3 linked regions of the Lepisosteus oculatus genome follow. The protein of the gene in region 1 interacts with the protein of each later gene in a pairwise test. Links are inferred from orthologs where the notes say so. Each region holds a gene or a part of one and is shown on either strand. Other genes may lie near its edges.

The links. The genes of interacting proteins can lie anywhere in the genome.
Region 2: the proteins of thap1 (region 1) and mettl13 interact in binary tests that used the Homo sapiens proteins (3 or more experiments, as listed by UniProt). The two-hybrid records come from large-scale screens. The link is inferred for Lepisosteus oculatus from reciprocal best matches to the Homo sapiens genes THAP1 and METTL13.
Region 3: the proteins of thap1 (region 1) and rbm10 interact in binary tests that used the Homo sapiens proteins (3 or more experiments, as listed by UniProt). The two-hybrid records come from large-scale screens. The link is inferred for Lepisosteus oculatus from reciprocal best matches to the Homo sapiens genes THAP1 and RBM10.

Annotation. Positions count from the first base shown.
Region 1 is NC_090698.1:64,312,219-64,320,351, reverse strand, and holds the start of thap1 (THAP domain-containing protein 1), read left to right. Parts: upstream 1-5,034; 5' UTR 5,035-5,218; coding exon 5,219-5,289; intron 5,290-5,323; exon of another isoform or gene 5,324-5,473; coding exon of another isoform or gene 5,474-5,475; intron 5,476-6,288; coding exon 6,289-6,484; intron 6,485-7,797; coding exon 7,798-8,133. UniProt on the Homo sapiens protein: DNA-binding transcription regulator that regulates endothelial cell proliferation and G1/S cell-cycle progression.
Region 2 is NC_090704.1:31,396,249-31,403,355, forward strand, and holds the start of mettl13 (eEF1A lysine and N-terminal methyltransferase), read left to right. Parts: upstream 1-4,077; 5' UTR 4,078-4,635; coding exon 4,636-4,788; intron 4,789-5,617; coding exon 5,618-6,380; intron 6,381-7,107. Other genes in the region: itpa (inosine triphosphate pyrophosphatase), read right to left, coding at 574-682, 1,014-1,090, 1,341-1,453, 1,665-1,696, 2,257-2,330, 2,820-2,884, 3,111-3,168, 3,821-3,883. UniProt on the Homo sapiens protein: Dual methyltransferase that catalyzes methylation of elongation factor 1-alpha (EEF1A1 and EEF1A2) at two different positions, and is therefore involved in the regulation of mRNA translation.
Region 3 is NC_090697.1:77,941,548-77,949,174, reverse strand, and holds the start of rbm10 (RNA-binding protein 10), read left to right. Parts: upstream 1-4,597; 5' UTR 4,598-4,720; intron 4,721-5,451; 5' UTR 5,452-5,508; coding exon 5,509-5,525; intron 5,526-5,790; exon of another isoform or gene 5,791-5,957; coding exon 5,958-6,399; intron 6,400-6,583; coding exon 6,584-6,787; intron 6,788-7,131; coding exon 7,132-7,201; intron 7,202-7,627. UniProt on the Homo sapiens protein: Binds to ssRNA containing the consensus sequence 5'-AGGUAA-3'. May be involved in post-transcriptional processing, most probably in mRNA splicing. Binds to RNA homopolymers, with a preference for poly(G) and poly(U) and little for poly(A).

The DNA of each region.
Region 1 (8,133 bases):
GATCAATAAAGTCTTATCTATCTATACTGTATTGAAGCTTGAATATAACAGGATGGAAAACAATGGTTTTATTTTTTTATTTTATAAGCATATCTGTCATGGCAAAAGGGTAATTCATGTTAAGTTCTAGCACTTTTTTTCTTCATTGTAAAATTCTAATTGTTACCAACGACACGAAACCTACACATCAGTTTGGATTGTTCATATGGAAAGCTCAAAAGAATAAATTTGAGTCTTGTAGCAAGTCCAACAAAAGCTACAATCTTCAGTAAGGTTTAATAATAATCTTTATTTTATGCAGATAATTGGTTTATGCCTTCATGACTCATTACCTCAAGCATTTTACATCAGAAATGAATGCAGTAAATTAACGCAGGGTTTGAAAACACTGACTGAGACATAATATGAACTGGAAGGCTATTCCACAGCCTTGGAGCACCAAAACAGAAAGAAGGGTCAAGAAATACAGCGTAAATGTGATGGAAATTATCACTATAAAGCAGGACTAAAACTTCATGTTAGTTACAGTTGGATTTTCAGAGTGTTACAATGAATCTTAATCAGATTTTTTTTAATCAGCAGACTTACTTAGTTGAATGTGCATTGTATTGTCAAATACAAACAGAAATTAAAATTCAGACAAGCTTAATTCAGCCTGTTGCATTTGCTCAAGGGAAGCACATCCATTCTGGCAGCACATAAGGGCTCAAGTGTACAGTACATGGGATATGCTGGGATTGAATTAGCAAGGGAGACCTACATTGTCTACCCCCACAGGTACTCCTGCAACAGACTGAGCTCCTAGGGGCTGCTCAGCAAGAAATTGTAATTAAAAGATATTGCTGCTCTGAGAAGAATAACCATATACATTCTGGGCTTAAGTGAATGTCCTACACCTACACTGATGAGCTGAAGGAACAGAACCCTTTCAGTCTTGAACAGAGAAGACCGTGAAGGCAGCTGAAACAAGAATTTAAATCCTGAAACCCCTTGGCCAAAGTCAGACCAGCAGATTTCTTTAGAAAGCACAGTGAAACACGAACAAGAGGGATCAGGTGGAAACTGTGAAAATAAGACTTAAACTGAGAACAGGAAGAGCTGCCCAGCTCTGTTGTTGAAGCCAGTACTATGGTTTCTAACACAAAATGTCTGAAAGAGATCTTTGGATTCAATTAAGTACTAAATGGGCTGGAATGGCCAGATGGCCACCTAACCTTTCTAATGTCCTCACAGGACAAGTGTTTGGTGCCTTCAGTTCTCCAGATCATATTACAAACAAATCCAAAGTCAGACTATCACCCAGTTCTCAATAATTAAATATGAATAGATGCTATTAGGTTAAGCTATGCATCCTGAACAATATACAACCAGTATTTTTACACAATATATATATGGTCTTAAATATATTATGTTAATAATATATTATATATCATATATGTTAATACATGATGGTACATTAACCTACCAATCAACTTTGCACATTGCAAAATGTAAATAACCCCCATTCTCTCGAATTTATAGCACTGAAATGGCACCACAACAGCCTACTATATATTTCAATGAAAATCACAGCTATATACTGTATGACCACAATACAGTAGTGTGATGGCGCTAAAGGTATTGTGGCTACATATACTTTCCATATGACTGATAACCCACATAAGGGGGAATGATATCAACAAACCTAGACCATTTCAATCATACTAAAGAGATCTGAAAAAAACAAAGTTTATGTTTTACTTATTTAGTCTTGAAGATATGCTCACACACTTCTTCTCACACACTTTTTCTCACACACTTCTTCTTTGTTGACTATTTTGCCTTCGACAGGCAGGTGCTATAGCGTTCAGTGAAAGATAAACAGCGCTCCTTCACAAGCCAAGGATCAATAAGAAAAAGAGGAAGAACAATGAGTAAAAATAAAATTGGAGTTTCCCTTATTCACATGCCTAGTTCACCCAAGACCTCACAGTATGCAGAAGTTAAATTGAGTTCATTTACCTGTGTCATTTAGGTATAGCGCTGGTCTGCTGGTCAAGAAACACAAAATCCAAATTGCTGCCAGAGTACAGTGGAACATTAACTTTTATTTTCCCACTCAAAATATCTTACAAAGGAGCTCGACCTGTGCCTTCTGGGGGGTTTGAGTTCCTCCCAGGTGTTTATACACACATTTCTTCTTGAGTTCTCGACAGCATTTCTTCACCCTGTTTCCTGTTCAAAGCACACCCTGAGGTTCCTGTTTACACCGCAAAACAGAGCGACTGAGGTAAACACTGAGAATCGGCTTCTTCAGGAGGAAAGCAGCGAGGTTCATTTCATTGCTTTCATAACTGAACTAGACCCTTGCTACACAACACAACTCTTTCACAGACATAAGAATAGATTTAAAGAATCTGAAGCATTAAAGGAAGTTTAGTCCACTATGAGATATAAGGTATACTGTACAGTACATTTAAGTTTCAGCTTTAGGTTTTTGGGAATTCACATCTCTAAAGATCTAACCTGGACTGTGAACACTGACTCTATCATGAAGAAGGCTCAGCAGCGCCTTTATTTCTTGAGGTGCCTCAAGCGATGGGGGATGCCAATACATATGTTGGTGAACTTCTACCGCTGCACCATCGAGAGCGTCCTCACCAACGGGATCACCGTGTGGTATGGCAACACCTCTTCGCGCACTGCAGAGAATGGTCAATATGGCCCAGAAGATCATCGGCTGCGGTCTCACAGAGATTAAACAGCTCTATGAGGACCGCTGCCGTGGTAGAATTCTGGCCATCACAGAGGACAGTCACCACCCCGGGCATGAGCTCTTCACCCCACTGCCCTCAGGCAAGAGATATAAGAGCATACGGACACTTACCACCAGATTCTTCAATAGCTTCTATCCACAAGCAGTGAGACTGGCGACCACATTTAGCCATCCCCCTCGGACCACACCTACACCATCACCATCACCATCTACCTCTTTATGATTTCTTATCTATTGCACATCTCCAGTCATTGTTTACATATCTGTATTGTTTACATTCAAACTGTCTACATGTTTACTTGCACATTGTCTATTGTTTGTTTGTACATTGTCTTGATGCACTGTTTGCACTTTGTCTTGTTTTTTACACTTGTTTTACAATCGAGAGACTTTCTGTAAGTAAGAATTCCATTGTACCAGTACCGGTTACATACTGTATGGCAATAAAGTTCAAGTTCAAGGTGAATTGTTTGCAGGTTCTCAGGTAGCTATAAATATATATATGCATATTAAATATATAATCAATTTTAAAAATCCAATCAAATGATGGGAGACATCAAGCATGTATCCATACATCTTTCTGTAAATGAACAAACTACAGCTAGGCCTGGAATGTGATTCTGGACCCTTGACACTGGATTCAAAAATGTCATTTCTATCTTAAAAAGACCACATATCCTGAAGAAAGCCTGTTTGTATATAAGTATTTTGTATCATCCCATAACTCAAGTATATTCCTCCTGTAGTCAGCCTCACCACGCTTAACATGTCAAATGTTTTACATCAATAAGATGTCATAATATTGCTAATTGGAGTCCACTACAGTACATTTGGAGTAAAACCAAATCAGTAAAAATAAAGTAAAAATTTTTAAAAATACTGAATATATAAATTATGATATATAAGAAGTAGTTGCATCAAAGCAGTTTACATTTTAAGGTGGGAGGGGGAGGGGGGTAGTGTTGTACTTGAGCTATTGCACAACAGCCTACTCTGGGTTAAGTCACCTGGTTTACCTGGGGCCCTGCTTTCTGAGATTGCTGGGATTGCTCCGTGGTGCTGCTTTGCCCTCATCTTGCTTTCTCTCTGCACCTTGTAGGACATCCATCCATTTCCTGAGTGCTTTATCCAATGCAGGGTGACAGGGATTTTCTAGAGCAGTGGTTCCCAATCTTAGTCCCAGGGACCCACAACACATGTGCTAGTTTTTGTTCCACCTAAGTGCTCAATTAAGTAATTGTTAACCCTTAATAGACATAATAATAGGTTTAATTTGAACTCTTTGTTTTCAGTTCCTAAAAAAGTAGGAAGTTGCCTTTGACTGTATTTTGTTTCTTAAGCGACTTCAGTAGAACAAAAGAAAAAAGAAAAACATGCAGATGTTCTAACCAAGCAACTATAGGTTAAGGACTTATTTAAGCGAAGAAGGAGGACTGTGAATCCCTGGTCTAGAACATGAAATTGATTTGTCAAGAAATTTGAGCTGTAGGCCATTTGTGTGAATTCAAATGTTATTTTAAAATAACTCAGAAGGAAAATATTTTTTCAACAATTCAGATTTCAGAGCTACAATTATGATAAATTATATACAAGTGCCTTTAAAATGCACTTTGGGGTGTTAAGTCAAATAATCGCCTCTCCGTGCAGCCCCTGCCACACCAAGTTTCAAGTTTGTAGATCAATTTATCGTCAAGTATTAGGTCTTTCATGATGTAAACTGAGTTTATTTAGAAGACATACGCTTTAAAACTACAGTGCCACCTCGATATACTCATAAGGAAGCTGTTGTGAGCGTATAAAACCAATGAACCGTAAAAGAACGTCGTTTTATTTTTCACTTCCAAGTAAACCACGACCTCAAGATGTTTACCAATAAGACGCATTCGTCCTGGATTTTCTCCTCAAGATCTAATACCTCAACGCTTCACTTCACTTCCAATTTTGGAAACAGATAAGTTTTAAGGATACCCCACACCCCGAAAAAAAGAAATACTTTTCAAATTCTGTATGTACTGTATGTTCTGTTGTAATTAATACCTCTATGTCACCTCGCTGGAAAAAGCGGCTGCTATCATTCTAATGTGTGGCAGTGGTTCTTCAGGGAGGTCGCGATAACATAATGGATACAGGGCAATTATGCAGGTTAAATGTGTCACACGTCCACCAGATGCTAAAAGCTGCTTTAATGTACACGTCTCGTCCCCGGCACGTTGAGATTTGCCTTGTCTACGTGATTGTACACTGCAGGTGCGTCACCCGAAAAGAGAGGAGACTCTTCCACGGGAGTGACCAACCCGAAGCACGGATGCGCATCATGTGACAGCCAGCGAAGCCGTAGCAGCCATCTTGGAAACTGGAGAGGGACCTCTTCTGCGGAGAATTAATGAATAAATAGTAATAAAAAAAAGGCATTCGTAACATTTGCAGTCGCACCTGCGCTGCGCTTTATTTTCAAAGGCAGCGATGGTTCAGTCGTGTTCGGCGTACGGATGTAAAAACCGATATCACAAGGACAAGAACATTTCTTTTCACAAGTAAGTTAACTCCTGTCGGTCACCGCAGGGCGCAAGTACAGCTGTTTTCAAACAGTTTGCAATACTGAGGGGACAATCTCAAGTAGGCTACGGGGCAAACCGTGCCGTGATTTCTCCGCGAAGCCCAGCAAATGAATATAAAATCAGTTGATCGGAGATACAAAGCGTGTGTCCGCCGATCTTTATGTAAGCGAAATCAATGATTTGGGTATGACGTGCATTTCTGGGTTGCTACTCGTACATCGTGGTGCGTTATCCTCCGAGGAGCACATGACAGGGCAGTTTGTGTAATTACCACCTTTCAGATGGATACATTAAATTAAACGTATACCGAAATGGGAAAAAGGCAGTGTTTATGAAAAAGAATGGAAATGTAACACAGGGCTACCCTCGCTTTTATCTGTAAATGCCAGTTCTGACTGTCATGTTTGAAAATGGGACAGACGACGAGGTAGCGATTTTTGCAGCCCTGTTCTTCATATGAAGTATTAAATATTATTTGATGTGTGATTTTAGGGTACGAGTCAGTTTCCACACTCTCTGGAGCTGGAGACGTCTGGATATGTGGATATGACAAACTCTAGGACAGCTGAATGTTTAGGAGAGTCGGGGATATAGCAGTGCTGCACGGATTTGGATGTGGTCCGATTAAGTTACACCTTAATTTAATGTATTGCCCTGCGTTAAATTACATATGATCTGAACTAGCCAGAAGAGTGTAAGTGCCGTAGTTTTCGGTTGGCTTGCATTTTAAAGACTAAAGATTTTTTCATAACTATTTTAGATTGATTGCCCTGAACAACACAATAAACGTTATTGTTATAAATTCTCTTAGAAGTCAAATAAAGGTATACCATGTAAAAAATATGGAGGTATTACTATAAATCCTGGAGTGCTGGACTTGTGTTGTTCTCTCAAACGCCAAACAAAACAAAACAACATATGAATATATGAAGAGAAAGGCAATGCCTCTTGAAGTCGTGTTTGCTTATTCATCAGGTTTCCTCTTGCGCGGCCTGATGTGTGTGGAAAATGGGTCGCCGCGATGAGACGGAACAACTTCAAGCCCACTAAATACAGCAATATCTGCTCACAGCATTTCACCAAGGACTGCTTCAAACGCGAGTGCAACAACCGCGTGCTGAAGGAAAACGCGGTGCCCTCGCTCTTCTGTTTCAACAGGCTCGATGAAAAGGTAAAGCCAGGCGGAGAAGGTCACTTTTTCTTAAGAATTCAAACATGTGACATGCTCTGCTGTTTGTTTGTTTTTTCATCTTGTGTACAGTAGTTCAACTCCCGTGCTTTGCAATTGTTCAGTGTCTTCACAGGCTAAATGTTTTACAAACTTTCCAAGAACTCATAACATCCTGACTTACGTATGTTGTATATCGGCTGGAAATAGTGCTGTATTTCCAGCCTATGTTTTTTAATCGTAAGAAAAAACAACATTTAAGTAACTGATTACTGATCAACATTCAGCTAGGACTAGAATATAGGATATGGAGATTGGACCCCACCAATTGAACCAAGGGGCATGTTCAGACTCTTGTCTCATCCTAGGAAAATGAATGCTAGTGTTATTTAATTCATGACTGAGAATAACCTCTTGGGTTAAGGTTATTTCAAGTTCTTATGTCTCAGAATTCAAGAAAATCGTTGACTTTCTATTTTTAAGGAGAAAACAATTACCTTTATTTTTGAGCATCCTCTGGAATTTGGTGTCCTCCGTGTGCAGTCATTGTCACAGGATGCTCATATTCATATATGTGACATATGTGACAGGAAGAGGTACAGGGCCTTGCAAAAGTATTCAAACCCTTGTACAGTTCTCACTTATTGTTGTTATAAAGCTTGCAAGTCATGATACTTTGAAGTGGCAATTAATCTTTATGTACACAGCCTCCACACATTCAAAGCAACAAAAACAAAAAGAAAGAAGTAATTGATATGAAAGGAAAAAGTTATGTATTCAGACACTGAATACCTTGAGGTCCTTTATAGGCCCTTAACGTGCTGACTACAATATCTGGACTAATGAATTACCTGTGAAATGTAACCTTTTGTATTTTTGTATTGCACCTTGTTGGCAGGCAATATCAGTTTGTGCTCACTTGTGTATATCTATTTTTACGACTTGCGTAGTGCTGGTACGCTTTCACACTCGGCACCACAGGAAGAGTCTGAATTCTTTTGCAAGGCTCTGTAGTGTACATCAGCCTGTAAAATCTGTCGGGTATCATTTTTAAGCAACCATTTGTAAAAGCCAGGCCTTTGCTGGAATAGATCGAACTTTCTGATGGCAAGAAAAGAAAAAGAGAGCTTTGAACTCCAAGACTGAAGTGTTCTCATGTTCATGAGAAGCAGTACCTGGAAATATCTCCGTTGTTTGATGCTATCTCCGTTGGAGGATGATATATCATCCCACATTTGACTCCATCTGAAAGAGAGAGAAGTACTGTACATTCATGCTCACTGAACGCTTTTTTTTTTCCCCATGCAATCCTGTAGGATGAGGCCTTGGATGAGCAAACCCCACCAGAAATGACTCTTCCCCCTGAGCTGCACCTCACTGACTCTGAACAGTCACCACCACCACCTTCGCCACTGCCGGCTCAGGAACCCGGGCTGCCCCAGCTGCAGAACGTGGTGCAGATGGTTGTGCACCCAGCCCTGCTTCCCAGCATGTCCATATCCTGCGACCACAACTACACAGTGGAGGACACCGTGCAGCAGAAGAAGAGGATCCAGCAGCTGGAGGAGCAGGTGGACAAGCTGCGCAAGAAGCTCAAAACCGTGCAGCAGAAATGCCGGCGCCAAGAACGACAGCTGGAGAAGATGAAGGCC
Region 2 (7,107 bases), on another chromosome or scaffold:
GTGCAAACAAGCAACCTCTGAGACTGTGTAAAATCAGGCTGTTTATTACAGGTCCAGACACTGAGGGAGAGGGGAAGTGGACTGTGTGTTGGCCCAGCTGCTAAACAGTACTAGAAATCACTTAGCCTACAGACAGGTGGCCATTTCCCCATGTTCCAAGTGAGGGAACCAGGACAGGGTAGCTGGTAATGTGCCAGCTTTTATGGCTATTCATGAACTCCAATAAAAGACATTTTCTCTCAACTGCCTACATAATTACCACCATGACTCTGATAAGGTGCTCTGTCGCCATGTCAGTGATATGCATAGCACTTTAAGAGAAAATAACTCATTTTGACTGAGAAATGGCAAACATACTTTTTTCAGAAAATGTTAGCATCAGGGTGCTGAACGTGACACGTCCATGCTGTGACACCTTATCTTCAGATTCACACAATACATTGTTGATAAGACAGGCATCGTCTTGGATGGTGGTGGCAAGAGCTTGTGATTGGCTATAGCCAGAAGCTCTTAAGCCTCGGTGCATCTCGTCGCCCCATGTCCTGGTGATGTGGGGGCCTGCATGGCCATGTCCTAGCTGTTCTCTGTGCTCCCAAGTTGAGAGAAGTGTTCAGACATGGCAGCCAGAGCACGGTATCGGTGAGAGATGGAGTTCTTCACTTCCTTTGGCAACTCCGCATAGCTGGGAGAGGAAGGCAGAGGGGGTAAGGGATTGCAAAAGGTAGAAGGGGAGAGAAGAGATTTGGAATGGTGTGAGGGAAGGAGAGGAGAAGAGTAAGATAATTAGAGAAGCACTAGAGGAATCACAATTCCGAGGTACTGTAAAGGTTCTGATTTCCACAGCATGAGAAGTCATGTTCTCACGTAATAAAGAGTTGGTTACAGTTTGCTTATCGAGTGATCACCAGTCCATAATGGCCTTGGGAAACACTGTGATCTAGTGTTCTATTAGATTATCAAATGCATGCATTTCACAAACAACTGGAAAAGATTGAGAAAACAATGACACTCACGTCTTATCATACCCATCTGGCTGGAAACATGGGTCCCACCCAAAGTCCCTGGGTCCCCTGGGCTCGACAATGCGCCCCTAAGCACAGAGCAATACAGGTCAGAGTAATACAGGTACCATGTTCCAACTGCACAGCACAAACAAGGTACCTCTGTGTTTCGTCACTGTAAACTCATGTCTGAGAGTCTGAACATATTACAGACCCTCTGAGCATCAGTCCGTGTGAGTAAGTCAGTGTGAACATTCCAGGCATGTGTGCCTCAGGAATCCAGAGGGCCCTGTGTGTAAATTGGAGGGTGTGCTATTTACTCTATGCTGCAGTCCTGACCTCTGTTTTCCCCCTGAAGAGCAACACTGGCTCCTCTTTTCCAGCGCTGTAGGCAAAGGTGCACAGAGCCCAGGCTGACTTGTCCTCAAACCCAGCCAGCAGCTTGTGCAGACCTGAAGGACAGATCAACAGAGAAAGTGGAGGGAGGGTAAAATCATGAGTGAAGCTTTTCATTTAATGATTTCGTACAGCATCTGGGAAGAGACTAGATTAATAGACAGGAGCTCCCTTACTGGTACTTACTGGTGTTGGGGAAAAGGGACGGGGAAAGCGAGACTTACAGAGAGACAATAATACAGACAAGAGAGACGGTCAGTGTTTTACCTTCAGGCTTCAGCTTGTCCAGAAACCACTTTCTGGAAGAACAACATGCAGAGGACACAGTTAACTGTGGATGAAGACACGTGAATATCTTGTTACATAGTTCTTATTCATTTTCAAAGACCTATCATTGATCTTCTTTCATGACATCATCCAGGTGGGGCTGCACATTGGTGTCGATGGAGGGGCTTCCCCATTACCTGTAAAGCGCTTTGAGTGGAGTGTCCAGAAAAGCGCTATATAAACGTAAGCAATTATTATTATTATGCAAAGGAACAAGTAATAGGTTTATTCCATGCTGAAAAAAAGAAGAAAGAAAACACAATGTTTATGCCGTGGGGCCTTCTTCAGGTATGAGAAAGACAAGGCCTGAGGTTGACTGAGGTATGTTTGGGGAGCAGAACAAGGTAGAAACTCGTAAGAAGCAATAAGTAGAAAAACCTTTTCACAGTGGACCTAAATATGCTATTGAATATATGCTTCCACTCTTCAGCAAATTACACCTCTTGGCCACTAGAGGTCAACATTGCACCACCGACAACCTGTCAGTTAGTCCACTATTGCCCTGTCGCAAACACACACACGCCATACTCACATATAAGGTCCCGGCAACCCTCCTAGTGCTCGAAAACATAGACAGGTGTCCTCCACTATCACTGGCCCGTCAATCTGTGAGATTGTGATTAACATAAAGGATCAGTGAACAAGAGTGAAAACCTGAGTGTGTCTGTGCCTCATAAGCCTTTAAAACATCACAGCACAAATGTTACAGACAAGGGGATGTCATTCCGCCAGCCAATCTTGTTTGGTTGCTAGTATGTGTTGTTTAATTTCCTGTGTGAAGGCGTGTTCAGGAATATGGACCTGTCTCTGACTGCCTCACTCAGTAATTTAGAGAAATCAGTGTGCACACAGATCAGGCATGCAAAACAGTGTGATTCATTGCAGGATCTGCAGCCTGCAGGCTCATGTGTAAATTATACTAATAAAGAAGAGAAAATGAATAGAGACATGCAAGATGATTCGAAGACCAAACCTGTCCATCCAATTTTACTCAAAATCAAAAAGCAGCTCGCAAATCCTGAAACATCACAGACTGATACACAGTAGAAGTCTTAGTTCCACCCTCACAGTACACAAACTCCATACTCTGCTGACCTGTCTGGCAGCCTCCTGGCACTTTTGTATGGAGATCTCATCAGGTTCGCCTTGGTACTCCGGCACTGAAAACACACCACAGTAAAAACTAATACAGCTCTCCCTGCAAGCAGCATCAGGACCACTCCCTTCATATTCACTGATGTGCTCTACTGATTGTCTACAGTTACAGCCATACACTGACTGAGCTCTCTCAGTTCACATCAAAAGGTTCTTTCTTGCCATGACGAAACATTTTTATGTCTGGTTGCTAAAACACACAGGGACCAAGTTCGCTTTCTCTGTACTCACAGTCAATCTTCTTGGACATGAGCCTGTAGGGGAACTTGTCTCCCAGTATCTGAATGACCTGTGTAAGACACAGAGATTTAATACAAGAACTCATCCGCAGCCACTGTAATATTTGTGTGCGTCAGCAGTGAAACTGCATGTTGATTGGTGGAGGGCTGAGCGGGAATAACGGTTACTCAGGGTCACAGATCATAGTGAATGTAGGAGCTAACGGGTTCGGAGTTACAGGTGAAATAAAGAGTTTGTTCGAGTGTCACATCGTCGTCCTGGGTTGTTAATTTCTACAGTATACGTGTACGAGAAACAAGACAGGCACCTTCACACATTGCACAGATATGTTCACAACAGTCGATGCGACACTCGGGATAATGATGGGTTTTAAAGTTTCTTCCTCTCCCTAGCTAGTGATGCACCGTGACGTACCAAATACTGTACTTTACGCTCCTGAACGACAACAGTTAGAAAGAGCCATTTTAAAAGAAGTGCTGCTAAAAACGAAGAATAACACAAACCGAATGAAATGGGTCTCACTCGATATTACGTGTTGTGGTTCATTCATACACTAATCTTTAATACGGTGTACTCAAATAACTAACACAACTGGTCAAGCCAAACAGCTTTAACCAATAAAATAATAGCTTGGTCATATTCTTTCTTTCCATGTTCAACTCCTGCACTCATTTTACTGTTTTCTCTCCCTCAGTTCTCACCTCCTCCAGTTTCTTGGCATTACCCGTCACAAACACCACCGACCTCCCAGCCGGCGCCGCCATGCTTCAACTTCCAGCTACCAAGCACGAAGGAACACACAGACATCAACAACATCCGGTGCCGCTGCGTATCAGCCAATCATCTGACAGAATGCGGCAATTGGCCAATCGGAAAGCGAGCTAGGAGGCTACTCGCCGTTAATACGATCCTATCATATGTGTCGTAGCGGATTGTGTTCTACACTGATTATTGTCCGTGTAGGAAACAGTTCTGAGAAACACATGTGGGAAGGTGGTATGCGATATGAACCTGGTGACTTGTAACTGTAGTTATAGATTTTCTATAAGAATCAAGGTGTAGGGTTTAAACAGACGATCGAGTAAATGTTGATTACAGGATGTTGCCTGTGTAGCTAGGTTAGATACATTTTGTAAGTTACTCTCACTGGTAACTAGTCGAGTTTCTCCCACTGGTATCATTTAGGGTGCATTTTACATGGGTGTCGTATTAGTGTTTTAACAGTATTGCAACAACTGTAGGGGTCACTAAAGAGTCCCTAAAAGTAAGATTACCAGAGATTCACAGACACGTCTGTTGAGCCTGGTTTATGGTGAGAGACAGTGTCTTCTCATATTCGCAACGTCTTTTATTTACTTCAACATGGAGTTGTCCACAACTGTAATGTGAAAGGCGTGCTAGCAGAATAGAGCAGTGTAGTGGCGGGACAGGTTATTGGTAAGTTTAGCGCCTGTGTTGCTACAGTATACTGAGTCCTTGACACAAACTCAAACCCTGTCGCTCACGCGGCCCCACGATGAGTCTGTTGCCACGCACCGCGGAGGAGTTCAGCTCAGCGGAGTACTGGGAGCGCTTCTTCCGCCGGCGCGGTGACCGTGCGTTCGAGTGGTATGGTGGATATACTGATCTGTGCGGGGTGTTACACAAGTACATCAAGCCTCGGGATGAGGTAAGTATGTGAAACTACATGACCAGACCGTTCAGTGCTTGTTATCCTTGTTATTCTTAGGATTGAAGTCTCTCCTTCAGTCGCAGACCGCACCACTGTGATAATAATTATAATTGACAATTTCTTGGATTTATTTAGTGCTTTTAGTTTCAAAGGATCCCAGGAAGCTTTACTTATAGGCTGGGAGAGTTGCAGAATACCAGCAACCCCCCCCAGATCAGGTGGAGAAAAGAGAAATTGCTTCTCCGTTTTAGTTAAGGGGGGACTTTCCAAGGTCCAGATTGTACAACTGCAGAGTGAAATTTAGCCAGGACACCAGGGCTAACATCCGTTTCTTTTAAAATGTGCCACAGCATGTGTAATGTCCAAAAAGTCAGGACGTCTCATCTGCACGATGAGATGCATCCTGTAGCAGTGTCTCTGGTCATTGCGGTTTAGAAATTGAGGTCCAGATAGAAGTTTTATCAGCAAATGCACCTGATGGCAATAGAATGATTGTGTAGTTTTGTTCTCGCATTTTTGGTCCTCTAAAACTAGGATAGTTGTTCTTGATCTTGTCACAGCCCAACAAGTTTCCCATAAACATAAAAATGTAATTCAAATATTTGTTTCAAAGATTCCAAGAGCAAGAGGTGCCCTCACCTCAATGCTTTTCCTCATTTTCCTCCACCATTGTTAATAATTCCTTACGCTTATTTAGTGCTTTTCTGGACACTCCCCTCAAGGTGCTCTACTGGTAATGGGGACTGTTCTCCTCTCTCTCTGGAGTGTGTGTTGTTGCTTTGCACTGCCTTCGTCACTGAATATTCCGTTCCGTTCCCTTTCCCAGGTGTTGGTGGTGGGCTGTGGGAACTCGGAGCTGAGTGAGCAGCTGTACGACGTGGGGTACCAGCGGCTGACCAACATCGACATCAGCGAGACGGCCATCGCGGCCATGAGCCAGCGCAACGCCGCCCGCCGCCCCGGGCTGACCTTCCTGCGCGTGGACGCCACGCAGACGCCCTTCGAGAGCCAGCAGTTCCGCGCCGCCCTGGACAAGGGCACGCTGGACGCCATGGCCTCCGAGGAGGGGGGTGCCGCGGAGGGGGGCCTAGCGAAGAGGATGCTGGTGGAGGTGGGGCGCGTGCTGGGCGTCGGGGGGCGCTACGTGTGCGTCTCGCTGGCCCAGGAGCACGTGCTCAAGCTGGCAGTGGAACACTTTGTCGGGGAGGGCTGGGCGGTCAGGGTGCACTGCCTGGACGGGCAGGGCGGCACCTCTGACCCCGAGTCGTCCTCCTGTGCCCTGCCCGTGTTCGTGCTGGTCTGCACCAAGTTCCGACAGCCCCCTCCAGCTCCGCTGCTGGAGCTGTGCCAGGGAGAGGATGGCGCCGCCCAGAGACATACCACGGTCCCCGCCTTGCTGGGGGCGGTCCGGGAATGCCAGGCCTACGCCCTCCTGCGAAGCCGCCTGCGCACGGGCACAGATCCTGCCCACAGCCCCGCCCTGCAGCTGCTCCACGCCCCGTCTGGACGGCCCCGGTACACTCTGCACGTCCTGGACAGTCCTCCTGGCACCAAGGTGCCCCGCGCCAACCACTTTGCCATCTTCATCGGTGAGTGAGACTGGCACTGCTCTGCAGCAGGACAGAACCAGACACACAAGCACAGGAAGGATTTCGCGTTTTCAAGATCTGGAAGTGGTGGTTCTTTTTTTTAGTATAACTTGCAAATCTGGTGTTCCCATCTTCACTCACTAACCCTGAGTGTGCTTTCCTCTAAAAGGTGTACTTGCTGCAGCCATCGTAGTTAGGCGTGCTACAGCCTCTGTAGTGCCTAAGTGCAAGTTTGTGTCATCACTTTCATTAAAACGTTATTTTCCTAGTCATTTTAATAACAGTGGTGTTTCTCATACTAAAGTTTTTTTATTGTATAATTTAGATTAAGTGCCTTGAGAATGCTCTGTATCAATAAAATTGATTGATTGCTAGATAAAGCTTAAGGAAGCCCAAAGGTGTTTCGCTGGTTGTGCACCAGCTATTGGGGAATTCAGGTAACAGTTAAGTAAAAACCCAGCGCAGGTGGGAGTCACCTGGGCTGGGACTGTAAGGTCCAATCTGAATTTTGAATGCTTTTACTAGCTGAGACTTTGGAGCTCATTCTTCTGTAGTGCATTCAAAAAACACAGCGTTGCGCTTGTGCAGGATTAATTTTGACACATCACTTCAGATCCTGTGTTATTCTTTTTCAAGGCGTGATCTAGTTTGAAGTTCCTTAAACCATTTTGTTTGTTTATTTAAAATATATCTGACTTATGTTAATTTCTACATCTTTCCCGTATTG
Region 3 (7,627 bases), on another chromosome or scaffold:
CAGCTTCCTCCTCCATCGCTGTCCTGCCCCACTCCAGGTATGAGCTCATGCCTCCGCATCCGATCCTGCTCTAGCGCCAAACCAGAGGATCGTCTCTCCAGGAACAGCCTCCCTCTCCCAGATGGACAGTTGCCTTGGCTGATGAGAGGGGCTCCCTCACAGGCAGGCTGGACACAGAAGCAGTGACTTGGTTTTCTTCAAAGGCTCGCCCTTAGTTTTAAACACTTGGCTTCAAAACAATTACATCTGCAGTGTTGTGTCATCGACAGAGAAAAGGTCCCCTGGAAACAAATGTCTATATAATGTTTTAAGTTTTGTTCCTCATGTCATCGTTTGTAGCCAAAATATTTCTGTGGCACTCATGGAAGTTGCTTACTGGGCTTTTCCTCAAAGCTGACGACATGTCAGCTGCGCTCCAAGATACAGTGTTCCTGTTGCTAACGCAGCTGTTACTCTGGATAGGTATGGGGAAGAGGGCATTGTTTGAATGCTGTCTCTAGCGGCGGACTGGGTGACGAATGTTGTGCGAAACTGACAGGTGACGTCCCTTGGCAGTGTTAGTGGCAGAGGATGCTGTATCTTGAGTTGTGGATAAGTGTTTAAATTAACATTTCGCCATAAGTCCTCAGTCTTTTTTTCATCTGCAGTGTGGGACTAGTATTGTTTCGGTCATTACTGCCAGGGGCCCGCAGTGTAGACTGGTGGATCTGCATGTGCTCCTTGTTTCTGCCCCACTGTGTCTGTAGCACTGAAGCTCCTTCCTCATGGCATCTTCCTGCTCCTGTCTGGTTCAATTCCACAAATCTGTCTCATAGAAGCAGAGATACTGTTTTAAGAGCTTCAGCCACATGTAAAAATGACGACTATAAAGGATTTTGAACATTAACAGATGGGTTGTTAATAAGACTGAGTTTGTGTTGTTTAAAACTGGGGGTAACCCCCCTCTCCTCTTACCCACTGCTTCCCCTCCAAGCTGGGCAGGGCCTGCAACCAGTGCAACATCCTGGCATGAGGTGCCTGTCTGGCAGCCTGGTGTGAAGAAGCATAGCAGCGTATTTTAAAAGGACTCTTCGCAAACATTCCTGCCACCTCTGTCCTCCTTCACCACCTGTAGACCACTGCAGCAAGTTGTGACCTGCCACTCTGTCAGGCTCCCTGTAGTCTGTAGCTTGTGAGCAGGCCCCACCCCTGGGTCTCGCCATACACAGTGGCCCCTCGCTGGAGCGCGCCGAGCTGGTGTGTCAGCGGTGTCCGGAGGATCCTTCCTCACCATCTGTTCCATTGAATCGCCCCTCGGAGTCGTTCAAGTCAGTCTGAGCCACTGTCCCTGTAACCCCGGTGGGTTTGTGTTCTTGCTAATCCTTTGAAAGGGTCCCAGGATTGCATCTGGGATTTGAAAAGAGGGTTGAAAAAGGAAATAAGCTGGCGATTTTAATTCACGATTTAAACCCTGCCACAAAAAGATAAATGACACTGGACTCAGTCTGTAGCCCTGGGGTCACCCTCATTTCCTCCCAGAATATTGACAGTGATAGCTCTGTGTGAAAGGGCTGGGGGAGAGGGTTAATTGTTTGAGAATAGCAAATGATATGGGAATCTTGATAAAATCAGCCATGTGAACAGCGAAGGAAATAGGATCCCACTTGATAAACAGTAAAGGGGGCTGCATTGTCAGACTACAGAGGGTAATCCTGATGGAGATTCCAGTCTGGACAGTCTGGAGAGCTGGAAGACTGTGTCACACATTTGAGTTAAGTGTTGTGACTTGAATGACCTGTTTTACACATATTGTAAGACTTCTACCTAATGGGTGACTAGATATCCCTGCAGCAGTGGGTGAAAAACTGCGTACAGGTCCACAGTGCACAATGCATGAGCTTTTCAGCATGAAAGGAGGTGAGAGGGTTTTTCAACTGCCCATATCTATCTATATATATATATGCATACAATATTACATATATATGTAATATTCTAGATTTTGGCTTTTTCCTTTTGGGACTGGATAAGATGTATTCACACCTGGTTTTGTTTTGCTTAGCCTACTTTCCTTTAAGGCCTTTGTGCTGACTGATGACGAGTTTCTGAGTACTGGTGAAAGCCAACACAGAACTTGGCAAATGTGCAGTTCAAACCCATCAGGATTGCAGTCGGCCTTTGTTAAGGAGTCTTTAAGGATTTCCAAAGAGGGGGGTTGACCTGCACATTTGCTCAGCGTCCTCCATTCGAAAATAAATGTCCTGTGTCCAAGTGATGGAGTCCACAGGGATGGAAGGTTAACTGAAAAATGCGGTGCTGAAACTTCTCACTGCGTTTCTTTGGGAATATGAAAACCTACCTAATTTATAAAGTCTGAAGTAAGTCAAGGTTTTTTAAACCGGTCCTGGTCACATTTTCCTGTCTGTGCTGGCCCAGGGGACGTGAAGGGGGCAAGTGTTCAGCTTCCTCTAGCTCTCACACGTACAAACCCTGCGCCTCCTTCCTTTTTTTCTGCTCTTGTACTGTATATTTAACCCTGTGTGGAATTCTACTGGCTTGTACTGTATCAGTAATACCCTCTTGCAATTCTAGAATCTTACCTTAAAAATGTAAAAAAGGAAAAACTAAATATTATATTAAAAGTACTTCTTTTTAAAATAAAGTCACGAGAGAAAAAGAATCTGCCGCATATAACTTTACCTTTTGTACAAATGCATCTTGGAATTTCCTCAGTCTGCTTTTAAAACTACTTTAAATAAAAATTGTTTTTAGGGTACTGAGTTTGTGCAGTGTCCTCTTTGATGCGCACTTGGACAGGGGCAGAAGACTGATCACAGTTATGGTCATGTCCTCCAGCAGCTCAAACACAGTTGCTCATGCTTGCACACACAGAGCTGAGATACACACTTGTTCAGTGACGCACGCCACGTGCATAAAGCTCAGATACACGCTTGTTCAGGGATGCACACTGCGTGTACAGAGCCGAGATACACGCTTGTTCAGGGATGCACACTACGTATACAGAGCCGAGATACACGCTTGTTCAGGGATGCACATTGCGTGTACAGAGCTCAGATACACGCTTGTACAGGGCGGCTGTTCCTTCACAGGCAATCACGCATCTGCGCAAATCATCCAAAGGTGTTTTTGCTTTAAAAAAATTTAAGCAAACAGTATGTCCAATTAAAATCAAGAGAACTGTAATCATTGTTTTTTTTTCTAATTATCCAAAAGGTTTGCTTTATTAACAAATTTGTGTATTTTGTCTTTAATAGAAGGAAAACGTCAGCCAATGACTCTGCACAGAGAACAAAGTGTTGCAATTTGGCTCTAGAATGGTCAGACACGTTGCCAAACCAAACTGGTATAGAATTCCCTCAGTAATAACTCCATAACCCTGAATGAGAATGGCCCAGGAAACATTGAGACATTTTTCAGTTGACACAGGAAATACAATCTCTGGTGCACTTCCATTGTGATGCTCAAAACATATGTATCCCATTTGAGGATGTTAGCAATAGTACTGCTAGAATATTGAAAGACACCACATGTTGAAGACATTCAATCATTGCAGTGATTTCTAATTCCCTCACTGCTGGTGCAGAACAGCTGCTGGGTGTCGCCAAGGTGGGGATTCACTTGAGTGGCGAGTTAAGTGAGTCCACTAAATATGTGTAAAAATTAAATCTTCTGGGGGTTTGGGTTCCAGGAACAGGTTTTAGTTATTTTCAGTTTGGAAACCACATCAAACATAAAAACAACGAAGTGCCATTCGGGGATCTATAACAAAGTTCTCCTTTAATTCACAGTCTACTATTATCATTCTTACAAGATGTAATCCTGTAGAACTCCACTCTTCAAACAAAACAGCTCCCTACACACACCACGAACCTTTGTGCTTCGCATATCCCCCCTCTTAAGAACCGCCCCTGTTGCTGCATTAAATACCAAACCTTAATTAAATAACTTGCTTCTTAAATGAACACTACAAATCCCAGTCCTACACTTGTAAAGTGCTTTGAGACACTGTGGGATGAAAATGCATTACAGATTTACATTGAACATGAGATGAATAATGGTATTAAGATCCCAACTCTAAAAGGTCACATCCGTTCAGGAGCCTGAAATTTACAGGAAGGACCGTGAACAGTGCAGAATAGTGACTGCTGTCTTCGTCAACAGGTTTAACTAGCTCTACATTCTCTGCGTGCACTTTGTTCACTTCCAGGTTACTGCAGTACAAGCACTGGGTGCGCTTTATTTTTTTAGCCTGCCAGGCCAACTTTCCTCAGTCATACAGACCCGCATCAAGCCCTGCGCGCTGCGACATCGGCCTTCCTGTACAAGAAGACGGCTTCACCTCTAACCACTCAGAGGGCTCGAAAAAGCTGTCACGTAGAAGCAGAGCCAATCAATAACGAGAGGCGGACTTTCCTTTTCTTGGCCTATGGTGTCCGCGGAACTCTTAAAGGGAAATGTCAGATCCAATAGGAAAGCGGCGCTGTGGACGCCCCGCCTGAGAAAAATGTTGATTGATAAGGCTCTTACCCAATCATATGTTTTATAGGAATGGACCCAAAGTTTTTGGACCAATCAGCTGCAGCAGTCCGCCTACCAAGCTCCGCCCCGGTAGATGGCCATTTTGTTTTGGACGTAGAGCGAGACGGTTTTTCCAACATTTCTAAAAACATGTTTGTTTATTCATAACTTTAACCCTTGGCGTTTCGGAACAATCTTTCAGAAGGTATGATTTCTGTTCCTTTGACGAGATTTTTCATTCTAATCGGCTCTCCTTTTCGAGCAGCGAGTTAAAATAACGCTGTGTTTGGAGACCCCGGAGGTGCTGTTTACGCAGGTAGACGTTGGTCTCGTTTATAACTGACAAATCCCGTTAAAATGTTTTTTTTTAAACCGAAACCGCCGTTTTCCTCATGTCAACAAGCGCGACAGAATTGGTTAACGCTGTATTTCTGAATCGCAGCGAAAGAAATGATTCCGCTCTCTTCTAATGTCGGTAGTTCAGTGTTGTTCAGCGGTGTCAGTGTGTTGCAGCGCCATTGAAAGCGCCGATACTGTGGTCAGCACCTGTGTGCCGGGGCTCTGGACGCGTACACTTCACCTCCGGGGATCGATGGGATGTAGCTTCACCGACCGATTGACCGACTGTTTCTTCAGTAGCGTCTCTGCTTCTCATGGGCTGCCGGTTAGCTGCTGGGACCCAGGCGGCCCGGAGAGCTGCGCGGCCTCGGTTGTCCCCTCCTGTCGGTTACATGTCGTATAAACGAGCACGGCGTGGTCACGCCTCTTGAGCTCGGATCTGAAAGACTTGGCGACGGGGGTGAGCTGGGTTGATTAGCCTGCAGGAGACGCGTGTGACCCGAGCCTCTAGCTCCCGGTGACAGAGGCGGACTCGTGTGTCCGGGTCTTCTGCAGGGCGTGGTGCTGGTCCAAATGACTCCTCTCTCTCCCCCTCAGGCCAGCGAACCTGGTGCGGGGTGCCGAGCTGTCTGTGTGCCAGGTGGCCGGAGCGGGATGGACTACGAGAGGCGGTAAGATGATGAGGGTAACAGCTGCAAACACACCTGGAGGGACGCAGCGCAGGATTGGAAGGAAGTTCTGCCTGCACAGCCAGGGGCCCGGCTGTCTGCTCGTGTTATTAATGCCAGTGAGCAGTTAGAGAACTAACTGTGCTTCTTACTAGATTAGTCTTCGCCAAGGTCCTTAAGCAGAAGACTGATTGCATTATACAGCACATAGAAGCCTGGGCTGGTGGTTAAAATAAAGAGTTTGCTCTCGTTATCGTCACGTCTGTAGCCAGGTCACTGTGATATCGCGTGCTGAGCTGGTGTCTGTGCGAAGAAGTCTTCTCTTCTGACTTGGAGACCAGCTGAACTGAAACCCGCCGGAGCGGCTCCCGTGGGCTCGGACCGGTCTCCGCCGCGCGGCCGCGCTCTCACCTGCTGCCTCTCCTGTGCCCGCAGGGGCGGGCGGGGGGACCGCCTGGGCCGCTACGGCAGCGACCTCCAGGACCACGACTACCGGGACATGGACTACCGGGCCTACGGGCGGGACGAGCCCGCGGGCCTGGGCTTCGAGCCGCTGGAGCAGGAGGAGCCCCCCTTCCCCCGCGAGGACAGGGGGTTCCGCCGGGCCGAGGACTTCCAGCGCTTCCGCAGGGAGGAGCGCGCCCACGAGTGCGAGCTGCTCGGCAGCGAGTACGAGCCCTTCGAGCCCCAGGAGCGGCCCAGGGAGTACGAGCCTCGCAGGAGGGGCTTCCGGCCCTACGGCCGGCCGGGGGGCTCCGCAGCGGAGTACGGCACCTCGGAGCTGGAGGAGGAGAGCTACAGCGGACCCCCTGCGCAGGAGGAGTATGGCGATCTGCACCCCGAGGACCCCGAGTTTCAGGGCCCGGACGACCAGCAGGTGAGGTCTAGGTCCAGCGTTAACGCGGCACGGGCAGGTGACCAGGTCACCCTAGACGTTCAGCTCTTCCGCAGACTGCTGCAGCTGTTCTCGACGTGCGGCACGGGCTTCAAATGTAAGCTTAGCGACTGAAGTGCGAATGAATTCATTGTGAGCTTGTCGTGTGTAAATCTGTACCTGGCAGGAGTTCCCAGAGGCTGCCGTCTCCGGCCTGGCGGGGGGCCGGGGATCCGAGGGGTACCACGCCCGTGATGCTCTGGAGGAGTCGGCGGGCTTCCCTCCTGACCCGGACTTCCGGGACCAGGACTACCGCGCCGACTCGGGCGAGCAGAAAGCCAGCAACATCATCATGCTGAGGATGCTGCCTCCTGTCGCCACTGTCAACGAGGTAAGCAGCCCCGCGCTGTAGGACGTCTCTCCCCAGCAGCGCCGTCAGCAGGCAGTGTCTGGGGATGCAGATGTTGATTAAGTACCACAGAGGATCTGATTCTCCCTTTTTTCTTTTTCTTGTCTCTTGTTCTTTTCTCGTTCGTTTTTTAATTAGACACTGTAGTGTCCACCGCGAGGTGTATGTGATCTCTTTTTGGTCTCCGATTTGTTTCCATCTCCTCCCCTCTGGGGCTGGGATTTAAATACGAGGATTTAATTCTTTACAGTTTGATGTTAATAATGCTGTCCGTGTCTGGGGTCAGGATCTGCCTTCATCCCTCTGCCTCCCCTCTGTTGTTGCAGATCCGCTCCCACCTGCAGGAGCAGGGCATCCAGCCCAGGGAGGTCCGGCTCATGAGGAACAAGGCATCAGGTGAGCCTGCACTCCACAGGGTCTCCCCTCCTCCCCCCGCCCTCTGCTTCCCCTCCTCCATTCTTTGTGCTGCTTTCCCCGGGAGGCTGGGCTGCCTCTGTCTGTACACCAAGCCACACGGGATCCGTCCCCAAGACGGGCCTGGTTCACACCTCCCCACACACCCTCAGACAGCAGAGCACACAATCGCCCCCCAGCAAGGGCATAGGAGCTCTCCTCCCAGCAGGAGAGACCCCATCGTAAGTATGCCCGAGCACCTCGGTGTCTGTGTGGTCGCGGTGTTGCTGCAGTGTGTATCTCGCCCTGGTCTACAGAAGAAAGACCTTCCTCTCCACCGTCTCTGGGGGAGCCTGAGAAGTCAGTGATAGTTTCTATTGCATGTAGGTACAGAAGGCGGGGACTAAAAGAAGGACCAATTTCTTTAAA